Linked DNA regions of Lonchura striata. The protein of the gene in region 1 interacts with the protein of each later gene in a pairwise test. Links are inferred from orthologs where the notes say so. Each region holds a gene or a part of one and is shown in the gene's direction. Other genes may lie near its edges.

What was found.
Region 2: the proteins of PAK1 (region 1) and RHOJ interact in binary tests that used the Homo sapiens proteins (3 or more experiments, as listed by UniProt). The link is inferred for Lonchura striata from reciprocal best matches to the Homo sapiens genes PAK1 and RHOJ.

Annotation. Positions count from the first base shown.
Region 1 is NC_134604.1:32,382,782-32,386,694, reverse strand, and holds the start of PAK1 (serine/threonine-protein kinase PAK 1), read left to right. Parts: upstream 1-911; 5' UTR 912-1,148; intron 1,149-1,671; exon of another isoform or gene 1,672-1,849; intron 1,850-2,277; exon of another isoform or gene 2,278-2,498; intron 2,499-2,580; exon of another isoform or gene 2,581-3,215; intron 3,216-3,221; exon of another isoform or gene 3,222-3,398; intron 3,399-3,913. UniProt on the Homo sapiens protein: Protein kinase involved in intracellular signaling pathways downstream of integrins and receptor-type kinases that plays an important role in cytoskeleton dynamics, in cell adhesion, migration, proliferation, apoptosis, mitosis, and in vesicle-mediated transport processes.
Region 2 is NC_134608.1:6,725,647-6,729,559, forward strand, and holds the start of RHOJ (rho-related GTP-binding protein RhoJ), read left to right. Parts: upstream 1-887; 5' UTR 888-1,479; coding exon 1,480-1,657; intron 1,658-3,913.

The DNA of each region.
Region 1 (3,913 bases):
GTCACAGCACCCCAGATGGACCTCTCCGGGGCTCAGAAGAGTGCAGTACACCCAGTGTATATGGACCAGGCCTTAGGTCAACCACTGCAATTTCCTGACTTATCTATTCTCCATGTGGTTGAATGAATGTATTTGGTAACATGTCTCGTCAAACAGGCATGGTTATGGAGTATTTTGGGCTGTTCTCTTGTCTGGCTTCAAAATTTTTTTTTTTTAAATATTGTCAGCATTCACTCATGTTTCTGAAAAGGTTTTGATATTTCAAGCATGGTACAAAAAGGAAGTCACTCTTCAGCTCTCAGTTCAGGGTCAAAGGGTAACTCTTGTGTTTTAACTCCAGCTTTCATGGAGCCCCCTTTATGGATCCAGAATTTAAATTGAGCTACGTGGCTTTTGCCTCAGTTCATTCCCTCCCCCCAGCAGCAATCCAGTAAGCTCCCATGTATCTCTGGGATTCTTGACACAGTCTGATCCTGTCTTTGAAGTGATGGGACTGATACATATTACCCTGAACTACAGAAAAACCTTTATGTTGCAACCAAACTGCGAGCAGAGGATGCTTGAGGGAGCTCATGCGATCTGCCTGTGTGTGTGGATTTGAGCCCAATGTTAAATGTATCCAACAGAGGAAAGTGCTTCGAAGTGCGTAATTCCACAGCAGGTTCAGCTGACTGAAATCAGCTTTGTGGCATTCTCACTCTCCCTATCAGTCCCAGACTCGAATTCTCGCTTCCTCCATTTGTTTACTTTTGCGATGTTAATTTGTGTGTGTAATTTTCTGTTGGTTTAGCTCCTGAACAAACTTATCACGGCAACTGATAAATGTTGGACAAGGGGGAAGGGCGAGACTGTGGCAGCGCTGTCTTATCTGTCGTGTGCTGTCTCGGTATAAAGCTCGTCTCCCTTTTGCCTGTAACTACCTGCTTCACTTCAACATTTCACCTTCCCACCTCTGGAGAGCACGTCCCGAGAACACCTCACCTCTCTTCTCGAGAGCCCGGCGCTGTACGTGCAGCCAAACCCCTCCTCTTTTTCCCTCCGGGCGCAGCACAAGCGCTGAGCCGAAAACTCCTGTTAACTAGGGTGACAAGTTTCCAGCAAGCTGCGGAACACGGGGAGAGGGGACACCCGGATCCCGGCAATATAAGGTATAGACGCCTCGGCTTGTGCAACACAGCGGCAGGGCAGAGCCCGTTTTATTCTTGCCTTTTTTGGATCTGCACGCACACAGACCTCAGCACAATGGAGCCGGCTCCGCGATAGCGCAGCGCGGTACGGGCGGCAGAAATAAAGTCAGCGCAGCGCGGCTCGCGATTGCTGCGATTGCCGCGATTCCCCGCTGATGGCGTGATCGCCAAAGACTTCTGCGTCCCAGGCAGGCCAGCGCCGCTGCCGGCCGCTGCCCGGCGGAGCCGCGGGCTCCGGGAGCCGCCCGCAGCCGCAGCGCGGCCGGAGCACACCCGCGGCCCCGGGGCAGCGCCGGGGCAGCGCCGGGGCGCTCCGGGCTCCCGCCGCGCCGCGCAGGTACCTCCCGTTCCCAAAGCAACTTTCCGCCGCCGAGCGAAGCGCAGGGACCTGCCCCCGCCCCTCGCCCCGCTGCGTCCCGCCCCGCGGCCCGGCTGCCCACCTTGGCGGCAGGGGGGCTGCGGGCGGGCCCCGAGCCAATGGCCGCGGCACGGCGGGCAGGGCGCGGGGCGGCGCCGGCCGCGGCAGGGCGGCGTGGGCAGCGGGGCCGGGCAGACCGGGCAGCACCTTGCGGCGGGCGGAAGGTGAGTGCCGCCGCGCCGGGGAAGGGGATTTCCTCGCTTGTTTTGTAACCGGGAAGTTTGCGCAGGGCTTGAGCGGACGGGTGCGTTCTTCTTCTTCAGCCCTTCTCTTCCCTCCTCCTTTTGAAATTTTCTCGTAGAAGAGGGTACTGACCCTGCCTTCCCCCCCCTGCCTCCCCGACTCATTCATTTAACAAAGGGAGTTGTTCTCAGCCGCCGGGCTTTGCGAGCGGGGAGCCCTTCGGGGCCGCATGTTTGGGGTCCCGGAGCAGAGGCTGGGGTGAAATCGGCGCTCAGCCCACAGTTTTTGCCAAGCACCCGTCCTGCCTTCGGCTGGAGGGGCGGGCGCTTTGGGCAAACACAAAGAATTGAGGAGCTGGACCCATGCTGGGCGATGGGTTGATGAAGCCTCGGGCTTTGTGTGGCTGGTGGAGGAGGGATGGAGAGGTGGGAGCTTGTCTTTTAACCCCTCCGCCCGCATGTGTGTACGAAACCGTGACTTTTTTCCTAGTAAAGTACTTAAAAGCGAAGCTGAACTTTGGGATCGCGGCATAATTCAGATTGGAGGGAACGTCAGCTGGTCTCAATCCAGCCTTCTTCAAAGCAGGGGCTTCTGCCTGGGGAGTGGGGGGCAGTGAAGGGACATCGGAGATGGCTGGCACCTCTGGGTGCTCTTGAATGCACCTGGGAGCTCGCTAGAGAAGGCAGCACCAGCAGGACGGGATTTCAGAGGTACTAGCGCTTCTGTCTTCCACTGTGCATGGAAATGCCCCAATCCACAGCTCTCCCACGCCTGCACTCCCTGGTCTTGCTGCTTTTGTTATCCAGAGGGCTTAAAATTCATGATTGTTGGGAATAGCTGGCTCCATCCGTATGTGTGTCACGGTGCATCTGCTCCTGCTGAGCATTACTTGATTCTTATTTCAACATTGCCTCCAGGAGTTTTTTTCTTCTGGAGCAAGATTTATAAATAGGTGTCAAAACCTGACTTTTGCTTGGGACTGGCTGTAAGGCGTGTACTTTCTGTGGTAACTATGTATGAGATGTGTATGTGTGTGAGAACAACTATAAAATCTGTTCAGTTAGCCACACTTTTCATTTTCAAAGTAAAAGTAGGTATTGTAGCAGGGTGAAATGGCTGGATCGGGCACAGAGGGAAGAATGTTTGTTTTCTTTGCTCGCAATTACTCTTTGCCCAGTGACTTATGGATGCCTTTCACTGAACCACCTCCCCCTTCTCTACAGTTGGGAGTTTCCTGGTGTTGCACATTACCTGGGCAAGCAGGGAGCATCTTCCTGTCGCTGCTTCAATATCTCTTAGTGTGGGTGTGCTGGTCTTGCTCTCAGCTTTATAGGGTGAGGCTGGAAAAACTCCTCCTTGTGGAACAGTTTGCGTGTGTGTCCACTGGATGCTTGGAGACTGCTTTTTCCCGTGCATTTTTTTTGTGGGTAAGTCAGAGAAATGAAGCTCATCTCTGCACAGGGAACAGAAGCTATGGTGGGAATTTGAATATGTTTAAATACTGATTCTATTTAACTCTGGATTGCCTGTCTTGTGCCACAGAACAGAATTTGTTCTCAGCTGTACTGTATAACAGAGCTGGAGTCTAAGACTGGACAATAAACTGCCAGGTAATTTTTTTAGCCTTTTTGAGTCCTGCATCTTTAAATGGGATGATATAACTGCCATTTTTCGATTTGGAAATGAAAGCCAAAAATAAACTTGAAGAAGAAAATGCTCTTGTAGCATGACAGCAAGAATGCTTTTACCGGTTTCTGAGGAATACTGTGTGCTCTGGATGTTGCTCAGAAAAAAAAAGAGTAGGGAAAAGTGAGGTTTTTAGTTCATGCATTTCTGTGCATAATGGGGATATAGGAAGAAATACGTGACAAGTCCAATATAAGTGCCACAAGTGGAAATATATTGCTTGTTTATTTTGTTTTTCACTGCCTTTCTTGCGCTGGATTGAAAACTGATGCTAGCTCTCTTTGCTGGAGAGGTCAAAGAACTGTTTTATTATCCTTTTCCAGGCTCTGAAAGGAGACCTTTTCTCTCAGCTTTGATTTCAATGCATGAATTTCACCAGTTTGCTGATTAGTGTCTTGTCTTTTTATAACTGTGAACTGCAGAATGGCTTCTTTTCTTC
Region 2 (3,913 bases), on another chromosome or scaffold:
GCAGGGCCAGCAGGGGGGTGTTTCCCCCTCTCAAAGCTTTCCAGCCTCCTGGAGGGGAAATGCAGCCAGCAGGATGTGCTGGGCTGCTGCACTGGGGTTTGTGTCAATGTCTGGCTCATTTCTGCTGGAAATTGCAAAATCTTTCCTGTGCAAGGAGCGGGAAGTTTTGCCCTTCGTGTATATGTAGATTGTTGAGTATTTAAATGGGGGGAAGATTTAGGAGGCACGTGAAGCACCAGAACAAACCAGAGGAGGGGGCAGCAATCGTGCAGTTAAAAGCTGGTTTTTCACAGACTGCTATACAAGGGGTTGTTTGTTTGTTTAATTTTTTAATTTCTCTATGTTTGTTTAATTTTTTAATTTCTCTATCTCTTAATTTTACTTATTGTCTTGGTCTGTGTTTCCATCTTTTTTATTAGGAGGGGAAAATCTGTCTTTTTTGAAAGAGGGGGGATGAGGGAAAAGCAAGAGAAACTTTCTGAGTGTGTGAACTGAAAAATCAGTTATTTATTCTTTATAACAAACACTTTAAAGAGCTATAGAGACAGAAAGCTGACATTATCTAGCCTCTATACTTCCTCTCTGCTTCTCCACCTCCCCCTTTCCCTTTCCCAAATGGGAGAAAATACCTATTTGAGATGAGAGGAGGTCGTGTCTGGGATCAGCAGGAATCCCTGGGACAGGGGCAGAGCTCGCAGCCTGGCCGTGCATCTCCAGCACTCTCGTATTCCGAATTCTCCCAAATCCTCCTTGCTGGGGCCGGCAGCCCGGAGAGCAGCTGGATGGAGCAGAGAGCCTAAAAAACTTCATTCTGCAGGGGGACCTCTAGTGTTTTCCTTTCTCCATGTCCTGGCAGAGTTCCTCCAAAGTACAAATACACACAGAGCTCCCATTGTTTGCAGCCCTTCACAAGCCCACTGATCCTAATATGGAATTCAGCAGGAAACCCATGATTTCCTGACACACAGCAAGCTGGAGAAAGAAAGGAAAAACTCCATTAAAAACCTCCAGACTCTCCTCCATGTAGAAATGAAATGGAAAATGGAGTGGATTTAACAGGAATCCCTGGTTCCTGCGGCCAGGCTGGAGGAAGGGAGACGCGGATCGAAGCTGCAGGCTGCTGATATTTTTTGAAGTTGTGATAAAGACTGGGAACGGCCGGGCAGAATGAGGATTTCCTGACTGGGACAAACGAAAAAGGACAGATCACTCTTTTTTTTTTTTTTTTTTTCTATGATATTCCCCTCTGTGTGTTTAATTTATTCACCTCGATGATCCTCTTGACTGATCTGGTAACTGTTAGAAGCGGCTGTGACAGCCTGGAAACATTAGTATGATTTCCTGAGTTTGAGATTTGCTGCTCTCCCCCCACCCCCCTCCTTCTCCAAACTCAGGAAAAGTCAATACAATCGCACTTCATTTTTCCTTCATGTGCACTTGGAAGTCCTGGGAGCAGCAAGAGCAGCGGCAGCAGCAAGAATGAACTGCAAGGAGGAAAATGACAACTGCACTGACGGGAGCAGGAACAACACCAAGAAGATGCTGAAATGTGTGGTGGTTGGGGATGGTGCAGTTGGGAAAACCTGCTTGCTGATGAGCTATGCCAATGATGCCTTCCCAGAGGAGTACGTCCCCACTGTGTTTGACCACTATGCAGGTAAGAAAGGGCTTTAAAAGAAATTTAATCGATAGCTGCAGGACAGCCAGGTGGGAGGTGAAGGCAGCTCAAGGAGAGGACAGTTCAAAAGGGATGCGTGGGTTACTTCTTGTCCAGGAATGTCATTCAGGCCTGGATGGTTGCCAGGCAGCTTAGAGGGCAGCTCATGAAATTGGGACAATGCAGGATTTATTCAGATAACTTATTTGTTTGCTTCTGATTTTTGTCTTGTTTTTGGCAAATAAGAAGCCTTAGGGATGCACTGAAATCCACTGTGTTTTGGGGCAACAAATGTGATTCAGCCTCTGTCACTTTGTATTCTTGGTTAGTTTTTGAAGTTCTGAGCTTTGCAGTTTACAGTTAAGACTATATATATGTGTATATATATATATATATACATATAGATATATGCTATCACAATCTTGTCCCTCTTGGCAAATGATGCATAAATTACAATATATATATCCTATTTAAGGAATAATATTTGAGAATGTATCCTATTTTAGGAGATCTTTGAGAAAACCAGCATAGTCTCTTTCCAAGCTGTCAGTATATAACTCTCCTTTCAGAGATGTTTGTTACTTCATCTATAAATAGATTTTAATACTACAACTTGATGGTAGTGAAAAGCAGAAGAGGTGATTGATTTGAGTCCTTCATAGTCGGGGAATTTGTAGTTTAAGCAAAAAGCACAAACATAATCAAGTTATATTCACTGCATTGCTGTGCAGAACAGACCCACAGGTTAAGTTCAATATTCACAGGCCTCTTTCTGTAGCAATTACTGACTTTACCCAGCTGTGTCCAAAGTTATCACGCAGATGTTTCATAGGCTAAAACTGGTTCAAACATCTGCTTAAATTTTACTATCCCAAATCCTGTTGTTTTTCTTCCCACAGTGTTCCTTTGGCTTAGGGAATTTTTTAATGAGATCCCTGACAGATTCTAGGAGCCCTGCAAAACTCATTGCTTATCTTGCAGCAGCAGTTGGAGTTTCCCTCATTCTCTCCCCACCTCCTTAAAAACTGAATTTTCATGGCGTGGCTTATCATAGATTTGGTATTTTGTAATGGGAAAAATCCCTGTTTGCATTCTGGCTCTGTGTCAGGTTTAGCAGATGAACTGGCCAAACAAGAAAGCTGTGTAATTGCAGAATCTGATCCGTGGAAATGTGAAGACCTTTTCCTCCACCAGAGTGGGCAGCGTCACTTCTAATGCAAGCAGCTCTCTCTTTTCTCTGCCCTTCCCACCATAGATTGAGTGATCCCTTTAGGAAAAAACAAACAAACAAAAAAACAAACAACAACAACAAAAATTTCCACAGAAAATATAGACAACAGAATATTGCCTGTTGGAAATACGTGCTTCCATGAGCCAAAATGCCTAAGGGCTGCCTTATACCCACTTTCCTGTGATAACTTCAGATCTGCTCATCCCTTACAAAATGCTGATCCCAGCACCCATTGCCCTTCTCCCACTCTCTTCCATGCCCTGCAAATACCTCTCTGCCTGTGGGAAAAGCCATCAATAGCTGGTGCCAGACCACGTGGGCATCGGTCTTGGTGGTTTTGGTGTGAGCCTGGGGCACACATGTGGCATTTGGTGGGGGACCACTCTGAGTTTCTCCTCCCTAACCAGCCACAGGTGACTTGCAGGGACTTGCTTTGATTCTCTTTCCTCTGTCAGAAGTGTTGGAAATTGCCACTGGGCTCAAAAGCTACTGAGGGATACAAGGGCTGAGGGAAGGATGGGAAGATGAAGTACCATAATCCTGATTTCCTTGGGGTAAAAGGAGTATGAAGGCACTTTTAAATCAAGCCTCATTTCCAGGGTTTGAAGATTTAGCCCCTAAAATATCTCCAGCTCTTTTTATCTACCTTCTTAACTACTATAGCACATAAATATAAAAGTATTTTCAGTGAGAAAAACTAATAAAAATAAGGGGAAAAAATAGCTCTGCTTATTAACATGCTGTTCTGAGACAATCCCTGCCCAGTGGCAGTGGTCAAAACTTGCATTGATCACAAATGGAATTTCAGTGTTTTGAGGAATCCCATAATTTATTAAACCAATTTAAGTACAAAATTGCATACAGAGTTGAGCAGTAGGAATTACTTCTAGAGCAGAGTGCTGGAAAAAATCCCACCCATAAAAATATGACATGGCATAAAGTATAACACAGCCTATTTAAAATACTGTGGGTATTGATTGAGCGAAGAACTCACTTGGGGGAACCTTACGCCTGAGCTTACAGTT